Linked DNA regions of Saccharomyces cerevisiae S288C. Each later gene encodes a partner of the first gene's protein in a complex. Each region holds a gene or a part of one and is shown on either strand. Other genes may lie near its edges. A codon is read from its position in the direction of its gene.

Evidence for each region.
Region 2: the proteins of RPD3 (region 1) and RCO1 are in contact, whole or in part, in a cryo-EM structure (PDB 8HXX), measured with the Saccharomyces cerevisiae proteins. Residues at the interface, in NP_014069.1 of Saccharomyces cerevisiae: Phe24 (codon at 2,370), Ala36 (codon at 2,334), His49 (codon at 2,295), Ser50 (codon at 2,292), Met53 (codon at 2,283), Asn54 (codon at 2,280), Gly56 (codon at 2,274), Tyr58 (codon at 2,268), Lys59 (codon at 2,265), Ile63 (codon at 2,253), Tyr64 (codon at 2,250), Arg65 (codon at 2,247), Ala66 (codon at 2,244), Lys67 (codon at 2,241), Pro68 (codon at 2,238), Ala69 (codon at 2,235), Thr70 (codon at 2,232), Gln72 (codon at 2,226), Glu73 (codon at 2,223), Gln76 (codon at 2,214), Met96 (codon at 2,154), Arg99 (codon at 2,145), Gly125 (codon at 2,067), Met128 (codon at 2,058), Glu129 (codon at 2,055), Ala132 (codon at 2,046), Arg133 (codon at 2,043), Arg136 (codon at 2,034), Lys138 (codon at 2,028), Glu172 (codon at 1,926); in NP_013791.1 of Saccharomyces cerevisiae: Val110 (codon at 2,429), Arg164 (codon at 2,267), Asp166 (codon at 2,261), Leu167 (codon at 2,258), Lys168 (codon at 2,255), Thr169 (codon at 2,252), Leu171 (codon at 2,246), Thr172 (codon at 2,243), Met175 (codon at 2,234), Thr176 (codon at 2,231), Glu177 (codon at 2,228), Glu178 (codon at 2,225), Ser179 (codon at 2,222), Asn180 (codon at 2,219), Ile181 (codon at 2,216), Arg182 (codon at 2,213), Ser183 (codon at 2,210), Thr184 (codon at 2,207), Ile185 (codon at 2,204), Trp187 (codon at 2,198), Asn188 (codon at 2,195), Asp292 (codon at 1,883), Pro293 (codon at 1,880), Asn294 (codon at 1,877), Leu398 (codon at 1,565), Asp399 (codon at 1,562), Ser400 (codon at 1,559), Tyr401 (codon at 1,556), Arg424 (codon at 1,487), Pro431 (codon at 1,466).

What each region holds. Positions count from the first base shown.
Region 1 is NC_001146.8:16,864-21,837, forward strand, and holds RPD3 (histone deacetylase RPD3), read right to left. Parts: upstream 2,440-4,974; coding exon 1,138-2,439; downstream 1-1,137. Other genes in the region: AAD14 (putative aryl-alcohol dehydrogenase), read right to left, coding at 1-385; PEX6 (AAA family ATPase peroxin 6), read right to left, coding at 2,678-4,974. UniProt on the Saccharomyces cerevisiae protein: Catalytic component of the RPD3 histone deacetylase (HDAC) complexes RPD3C(L) and RPD3C(S) responsible for the deacetylation of lysine residues on the N-terminal part of the core histones (H2A, H2B, H3 and H4).
Region 2 is NC_001145.3:412,214-416,737, reverse strand, and holds RCO1 (Rco1p), read right to left. Parts: upstream 2,757-4,524; coding exon 702-2,756; downstream 1-701. Other genes in the region: sister chromatid cohesion factor PDS5, read left to right, coding at 1-542; YMR075C-A (uncharacterized protein), read left to right, coding at 685-1,050; SDD2 (Sdd2p), read left to right, coding at 3,265-3,702; IRC21 (Irc21p), read left to right, coding at 3,865-4,470. UniProt on the Saccharomyces cerevisiae protein: Catalytic component of the RPD3C(S) histone deacetylase complex responsible for the deacetylation of lysine residues on the N-terminal part of the core histones (H2A, H2B, H3 and H4).

The sequences.
Region 1 (4,974 bases):
AACTACGCTTGTGATTACCACAGTAGTTGGCACTTTTACCACCACCTACTTCATACTTCTTATAATCTCCGGTAAACTTGGTGGCAATTACAATCTGGTCACGCAGTTTTCTTGATGCCATCCATTCACCTATCCAAATCTCTGACTCTTCATTTTGGTAACTGTTTGCAGTATCAATACAATTACCTCCAGCTTCATAAAAAGCATCAAGAAGTTCAAAGGCCTGTTCCTTATTCATAGAGCCCATAAAGCCTGACCATGCGTCGCCGATTGAAGCTCCTCCCAGAATTAGCGGTGAAACCCTTATGCCGGCAGTTTTAGAAAGAACCCTGAGACGTCCCAATTCGGTAGGTGGTTCAGGTAGAGGTTTAAACAAGTCAGTCATGCTGAATAGTGGTTTTTTATGCAATAGACAATATGTTAAGTAAAATACAAAGCCGTTCAGCTAATTGGTTAGCTAGTTAATGAAGAGAAGAACAGCATGCATCCTTGACTTGGAAATATTGTCATACTTAAATATGGTTGGAAATTTTGCCCCCCGGTTTCCTTGAATACGAACAATGCAACTTATTTGAGTCTTCGTACGAGATCTGCTTACTGGTTTTGTACAGCGCTGAAAGCGAATTTGAAAATATATGCAATTAGAAGAGAGTGAATCAGATGAGGATAGGGTTAATACTGTAAAATTATTACCAAATATTGAATGACATATAAAAGTCGTAGTAACCGAATTTGTTTTTTATTATGAATAAAGACTTCTTGTTTTCGCATACTTCGATGATTTAAGAAATTAAAAGTCATTTACCCAGGCGTGATTATAAATTATATTGGCACCGCTTTATCAACAGCGGTGGGACGAGACGTTTAGATAGTAATTACAATAGAAATACAACTGTTTCAATATTAAAATATCTCTAGTATGTAAATAACACATATAGGCAATTTTCTTCGAAACGTATGGGACGCGGTTGATGTATGAACGGAACGCATCAATTAAAGGTTTGAGAAAAGTCTTTTGCAAAAAAATTGAGTTTGCACTTCTCATACACAATTGGATAGCGTCTTAAGTGCCTTTTATTCACTTTTCTTCTTTTGTTTCACATTATTTATATTCGTATATACTTCCAACTCTTTTTTTCAATAGAATTCATTGTCATGCTCAACATGTAGGTCCCTCGCATATTGCGAACCACCCTTCGTATCTTTAGCCTCGGCAGAATCTTCTTCAACATCACCCAAATCTTCGGCATCCCTAGGTGTGTGATTCAACTGAACACTAGGGGCATACTTTGTGTTTTCCAAATTAGCAAATATATTGGTCATTACCTTGTCAAGATATTCGGGAGTATTTACATTGAACATATTCGAAGGTCTAACACTTAACTTATAATCTGGACCGTAATATTCGTAATATTCATTGTACGGTAAATCTTTATCCAAGACAACGTTATTTAGTAGACCTGTTTCAAAGCACCATGTCCTTGCAACATTTCTCATAGTATAGCCTCCTCCACCAACAACCATCATTGGGATCCCAAAGGATTTCACATAGTTTACACAATTAGCATGGCCTTCCATGGAAAGATTAAAGCAACCAAGACGATCGCCGGACAAGGAGTCCCCACCACACTGTAACACGACAGCAGAAGGTTGATACCATTCCATAATTTTTTTTATCACAGGTTCAAACACAGATCTATACGTAGCATCGTCAATACCGTCTCTTAATGGCACATTGACCGCGTAGTTTTTTCCTGCACCCACCCCTATATCTCTCAGTTCACCTGTGCCAGGGAAAAACTCACCATATTTGTGGAAAGAACATGTCATGACACGATCCGTTGTATAAAACGCTTCCTCTACACCATCACCATGGTGCACATCAATATCAATATACAGAACTCTGGGGTGGTATCGTAGTAGCTCAATAATGCCCAGTACTATGTCATTTAAATAACAAAACCCAGAAGCTTCCGATTTTTTTGCATGATGCAAACCACCCGCATAGTTGACAGCAACATCACATTTGCCTCTATTCAGACGAGCAGCTCCTTCCATAGAGCCACCACCAGATATGCTACAGTACTCATAGAGCCCATCAAAGACAGGACAATCATCTCCGACATTAAACTTGACACTTTCTCTTTTAAACATTTCTAAATTATCTGGAGTAACCCTCGATAAAAAATCAATGTATTCATCAGTATGGAACTGACACATTTCTTGTTTCGTTGCCGGCTTAGCTCTGTAAATTTCCATCTTCTTGTACAAGCCATAATTCATAATAAGGGAATGTGCCATTCTTATTCTATGCGGCTTCATCGGGTGACCTGCTCCATATGCATAGTTCCCAACGTCTGCATCGTAAAAATATGCAACGCGTCTTTTATCGCTTGGCTTGACCGTGATCGGATCAAAAGGTGTTGCTTCATATACCATCTGCACGGATATCGAGTTGTAGCCACGAATGTTTTGTATGGCGCAATTGTTTTATGAACCTTTATGGTTATTACTTCAAATTTTTATTATGTATAATCAACTACTAGTATCTTTTCTGTTTTTCCCTTTCGATAGATACTATGAGCCGGGGAGGGTAAGTAAATAAAAAGATAAATTTCAAGGCAAAATATGGGACATATATTTACAAATTTACCTATACGCTCTGAGTTGATATTACTTAAGCACCTTCAAAATTAGCTCTCACCGCTTCATAATGATTCAGTTCAGCCCGCGACACACTTGGGGTGAGCTGCTCTTGTGCTTTCAAGAAGTCTTCCATTTTTACGACAACCTTAGTATCCTCTTTTGTCGCAATCTTATCAAACCAGCGACGTGTAGAAATATTCTCTCCCGTCAATTCGTTATGCTGAGAAACTTTTTTTTCTACCATGCGTGCAATTCTTGACATGGCGTTAAGCATTGCATCTGAGCAGAGAGCATAAAAATCTGCCCCGGTGTAATTAAATGGACATAGCTTTGCCAACTCAATAAGCTTTACGTCGTTGTCGAGCACGAATTTGCGAGTCAGAGCCTCTAAAATATTCAATTGTTTGGTATCCGTATCCGGAATGCCTAAATATAACAATTTATCGAATCGTCCTGGTCTTAGTAGTGCTTCGTCCAATAAGTCTGGTCTGTTTGTTGCTCCGATAACAAATACACCGTCAGCGTCGGTACTCATACCATCTAACTCTGCTAGTAACTGTGAAACGATACGATCCATAACACCACCCGAATCACCTTGATTACCACGTTTGGGTGCTACTGAATCGATTTCATCGAAAAATATGACACAAGGTTTAGCCTCTCTCGCCTTTTGAAACACTCTGCGCACATTAGCTTCACTCTCACCAATGTACATATTCAACAGTTCAGGGCCTTTAACACTAAAAAAATTTAAAGAAAAATTTGTTGCAATGGCCTTAGCCATTAGAGTTTTACCTGTACCCGGTGGACCATAAAAAAGAATACCGCTTCTCTTTTTCATACCTGAGGTAAATAATTCAGGATGTTTTAGCGGCATGTCTATTGTGTCCAATATTTCACCTTTAACAAAATCAATACCACCTATATCATCCCAAGTTACGTTAGGGATTTGTGGGGCACCAATCGAAACCGAGAATTCGTTCCTAGCTTTCGAAGTAGCTTTTGATAAATCCTCCTGAGTGATCAAAATTGATTGCGGAAGCCATCCACACTTCTTTGATTCTTGGTAAAAACGCGCAGTAGCCGTCATTCGTGCCGTTTCCACAATTGATTTGATGTCTAAAGGAGTTAAACCAGCAGAATATGAAGAGAGTGATGAAAATGAAATATTATCCATGTAAGATACTGGAACCTTTTGTTGAACATCTCTGTTTAGTTCATGTGAAGATAAGTACCACTGAAAGATACGCAGTCTCTGTGCTTCAGACGGAACGGGTACGAGAATCTCAAATCTCATATGTGATCTAAAGCTGGAAGGCACGTTATCTATGTTATTTACGGAGCCAACAAATGTAGTTCCTGGGAATTTAAACGTAAAATCGTCCAGAAGTTTAGACATTTCGAAGTTTATAGATTTTTGTAATTTGATTGCCTCTGGATCTTGATTAGCGTTTACGTCAAGCAAAATTGAATCCAAATGAGCCAAAAAAATCACAGCAGGTGATGCGTACGGTAGGACATTTTCACATTTAGCCCTAATGTAACCAATAATCTTAGATGTTGAATCCAGTTGTCTTGAATTTGAAGTGAGCGAAAGGCAATCTATCTCCAGTAGATGTATACCAAGATATTTTGAAGCAAATCTCACCATTGTAGCCTTGCCCACATTGTTTGTAGTGGAATGAAGTAACACAGAGGCATTTAGGGTGATTCCCCTTTGAGAACAATTGAAGGAAGTTTCTAATATGTTAACCAATTGTCTTACATAGGGGAAGATATGCAAATCATAGTAAAAAGTTTCAGCAAAACCGTAATATCTCTGAAGATTGGATCTACTCAAGGGTAATGGTCTTCTGTTAGTGATATTAGTTGTTATTAGCTTCGTCCGATTGGGATCAATAATAAAATGAGAATTATCTTTAGAGAAGCAATCGAGCTCTGCGCTTGTGACAAAGAACCATACAAGGGAATCGTTCTTGTAGTACTGCCCTAGCTCATCTTCGTCATCAGACTCATCATTTTCCTCTGCTATATTGAGATCAGCCATACTTGAATCAAAAGCGATTGGGATTAAATCATTTTGACAAAGAATCCTTTTGCTCTCGCTAAAAAACTTTTTCAAGGTTGTTAGAATAATATTTTGAAAGCATTTCTGAGATTGAAGCCAGCCTCCAACTCTTGAGATGAAAACTTGATTAGCAATGGGAATATCTGTATGGCCTATATTGGACTTTGATATTGTCACGACGCTGCAGTCTGGAAAGCTTGCTATTATTTTGGGAGGTGCGTATATTGTTCTTTTTTTAAAGCCGTTGGGGAGTAGTAAAA
Region 2 (4,524 bases), on another chromosome or scaffold:
AAGAAGCGCCAAAGAAGCATAGACCTTACGGTCAGAAAATGTATATCATAGGTGAGCTGTCGCAAATGATTCTATTGAATTTAAAAGAGAAGAAAAATTGGCAACATTCAGCATATCCAGGTAAATTAAACTTACCATCAGATTTGTTCAAACCTTTTGCAACGGTTCAGGAGGCCCAGTTATCTTTCAAAACATACATACCAGAGAGCTTGACTGAAAAAATACAAAACAATATAAAAGCTAAAATCGGACGGATTCTTCACACGTCACAAACTCAAAGACAAAGGCTTCAAAAGAGGTTATTAGCTCACGAAAACAATGAATCACAAAAAAAAAAGAAGAAAGTTCATCATGCGAGATCACAGGCTGACGACGAAGAAGGTGATGGGGATCGAGAATCAGACAGTGATGATGACAGTTATTCACCGTCTAACAAAAATGAAACCAAGAAAGGGCACGAAAATATTGTGATGAAGAAATTGAGGGTCAGGAAAGAAGTTGACTACAAAGACGATGAAGATGATGACATCGAGATGACTTAGAAGGGAAAAAAACATCAATTGCTATGTTGTAAATGGAAAAAAAAGGAAAATAGGTAGATCTCTCACTTTAAGATGCGATACATATGCCTATGTATGTGTGTATATATGTAAGGAAGGTGTTCACGTTCCTGATTTATTCTTTATGTATGTACGCCGTTTCTATTCGGATTGGTTTTCGGGATTTTCTATGTTTAAAAATTTTAACAGTTCTTCCTTTGGTTTGGATTCGATAATCTTCTTTAAATATAACAGATGCTTTATTTCATCGCTGGAAAAGTCATTGAATTGTATAGAATCTAGTTCGTTCGGCACGACTACGTTAGTCAGTTCTTTCAAATCCCATAATTTTCTTAAGTTATTGCTTTTGGAAGCCGATTTATTGTTACTACTCTTGTCGTTGTTGCTAACTTGGAAATATATTAAAGAGGCTATGTCTTTGACCATATTATCCTCGCTATTGCCATTTTGGGATCCATTTGATACTAACTTATCTATTAAACTTTCTTGAAATTGAAAGAGTTTTCTTTTTTGAACCATTTTTGATTTGTAAATTTTATCAAAAAAATCATATTTAATGGAATTTTCATCTATTTGTGTAATTTTGAAATCTTGATTGAAATCATAATCTGTATGACTAGTTGTTGGTATGATTTGAATGTTCCCGTTATTTTGGTAGCCTATTTTTTGTAAAGGTTCATAATAAAGTTGGTTTTTCTTGTTTATCAATCGTTGTTTTTTCCACACCTTATAATTTACGCTATTATCTTCTTGACAATGGTGTATCTTTTTGTAAACTTTAGTTGGGGAATGTAGAGGACATTTCCATTTTGAACCTAAGTTCTTGAAAGAAGCCCTCGGTACACAATCCAAATGCCATGGAGTCTGACAATAATCACAAGTCATTATTAATCTTGAATTTTCTGGATGAGACCATGAACCTAGTCTGGTTTGATTGCATTTGTAACAAATTAAAAACTTACCTGAATTTGAATCTATATGTGTATCCGGGTTGTAAGAGTCCAATTTAGTTATGCTTTGGCCATAAGAAGTGTTAAACAATTGTCTATCAGTTAATGGAATCTTATCATTCTCATCAGAGTATTGTCCTCTCGAACCCGTTTTCACAGCAGGAAAGGTTTCTTTTATATAATTTGGTAGCTGGAACTGTTTTGGGTTGTGGGAATCGATATTGAAAAGTAATTTAGCAAAAATCTTGACGTTGTTATTTTGCTTAATGAAGTTGGATTCAATTTTTTTTAAAGTTGCCATTGAGTTATTTATGAAGATTTTAAACTTACATTCATTACAATGCCAATCACCTTTAGGCAGGTTGTTCGGATCAATTGGTGGGTCTAAGCAAAGAAAGTGAAAGGATTTGGGGCATGTATCACAGCATAAAAAAGAACCTGACTGATTACAAGCCGAACAAAAATCTTCATTCTCAAAATCTATGGTTGAATTGTTCTTGTCCCTGAAAATTTTTTCACTCGCATTCGATGTTGACTTGATGGAATTTTGGCCAAATAGTTTACTTTTTGAATCATAGGTAGCATTCGTTGAAAGTATTATTTTGGTTCTAATATTTGATAGCTTTTTATTATCGCGGTCGCTTTCAGGTTCACGGTCACGAGTTCTGTTTATTATATCGCCATTCCAACCAATAGTTGACCGTATATTGCTCTCTTCAGTCATGTTCTCAGTTAAAAACGTTTTCAAATCATTTCTGTTCAAATCCTGAAAATTTTTCGGCACCTGAGTAAATCTTTTACTGGGGACCAGCGTCATTTCTGAGTTGTTCGATTGGCCTCCCAAATTTTTTCTATAATTCCAAAGAGACTCTCGCTTGATTTTCTCAGAAGGACCTTTATTTAACGGCAATCCAGTGACAGATACCTTCGAATCTTCCGAGATGGTGGATGGCTCATTAAGTTTGATGATATTACCCTTGGAGTCCTTTTCAAGAAGTTCCTTGGGTTCTTCTTCCGGGATATTGTCTTCAACTGCAAGATTGCTATGCTCGTTCTTGAATGATCTTTCTATACCTTCAGAAGTGATGATCTTTCTCCTTTTCAAATCGTAATTTACATTCTGGGAGGATAGTCTCTTAGGACGTTTTTTCTCTTTGGAAGAAGATGAAGAGAGAGAAGAAGATGAAGGAGAAGAACTGTTGGAATGTGAGGGCGACCTAGTAGTATCTTTCTTGCTGGTGTCCATTGTATTATTATTAGCAGATGGTAATGGAAGTGTCTTTTATAGGTTTTTCTATGGTGATTATTCTCGTTTATACTTGGTATTCTTCTTCCTTCCTCTCGTGCTTGTTGCAAATGTTCAAACGCGTAGTGGGTACGTCGTTCTCTACAAAGGAATGAGGCAGATCTTGCAGCGAGCTACTAAAACTACCACTTATGGGTTAACACGATATATATGTATTTATATCTACTAATATGGTATTAAGGCTCAAAAATAACCTTGCAACAGAGAGCAATAGTATAATTTCCTACATGAGGAAGAAAGTTGCCTATTATGGTGAGCAGGTGAAATCCTAGCTGCGAACGGGAAACTTATTCGGACGAGAAACAGATGAGAAACAGATGAGAATTTTTGGGCTGGGTAAGCGAGAATTTTTATACCACTTGTGGTTCTACAAGGAGAACCAAGAGTAAAAGTTGAAAAATCTTCTTGCTCTCTGGATTACAATTCAGGAGGAAGTGTGTGCTCAGATATGGACCCAGAGTTACAAGCTATTAGGGAAGCCAGATTGGCTCAGTTGAAAAACAACAGTGGGGGTACCAACGGCGATAGAAATAGCGGTGCTAATAATGGTGGAGGTGAAAATTCCGCTCCCGTTGGTGCAGCTATTGCAAATTTCTTGGAGCCACAAGCTTTAGAAAGATTATCTCGAGTGGCCTTGGTCCGTAGAGACAGGGCCCAAGCAGTAGAGACATACTTAAAGAAACTGATTGCTACAAACAACGTCACTCATAAAATCACTGAAGCTGAAATTGTTTCAATCTTGAATGGTATCGCCAAGCAACAAAATTCACAAAATAACAGTAAGATTATCTTCGAACGGAAAGATTTCAGCGAAGATCTGAATTCATTTGACAAGCAGAATGCTAAAAATGATGACGACGAAGATGATGACGACTTCTTTGATTAGTTTATATAAACGAATAATATGTTTTTTCGTATAATGTTACATTTAGTACAAATCATATCCTTTATAGAACTAGAGTTAAAGTTACATTAATTATGTGTAGCAAAAGGACGAATAAGCAGAATATAACATATTAGCAGGTGCTTAGATTACACTCATAGAGATATGAGTAGTGACGGCATGAACAGAGATGTTTCAAACTCGAAACCAAATGTCAGATTCGCTGCTCCTCAGCGACTAAGCGTTGCTCATCCTGCCATATCATCCCCGCTGCATATGCCCATGTCGAAGTCGTCAAGAAAGCCTCTTGTAAGAACCAAAATAAGACTAGATCCTGGGCACAGTGCTCTGGACTGGCACTCTCTAACCTCCAATCCAGCGAATTATTATACAAAATTCGTTTCGCTACAGCTTATCCAGGATTTACTCGATGATCCGGTATTTCAAAAAGATAACTTCAAGTTTTCACCTTCACAACTGAAGAACCAATTGCTTGTCCAAAAGATACCCCTTTATAAAATAATGCCACCCTTAAGAATAAACAGAAAAATCGTAAAGAAGCATTGTAAAGGTGAGGACGAGTTATGGTGCGTTATAAACGGCAAAGTCTATGACATTTCTAGTTATTTGAAGTTCCATCCAGGTGGTACGGACATCTTAATAAAGCACCGTAATAGTGACGATTTGATTACATATTTTAATAAGTATCATCAATGGGTTAACTATGAAAAATTATTACAGGTTTGTTTCATTGGCGTTGTATGCGAATAAAGGTTACCAGAGATAAAAAAAAAGTTTGAAGACTTACATAGGATATAAAAACAC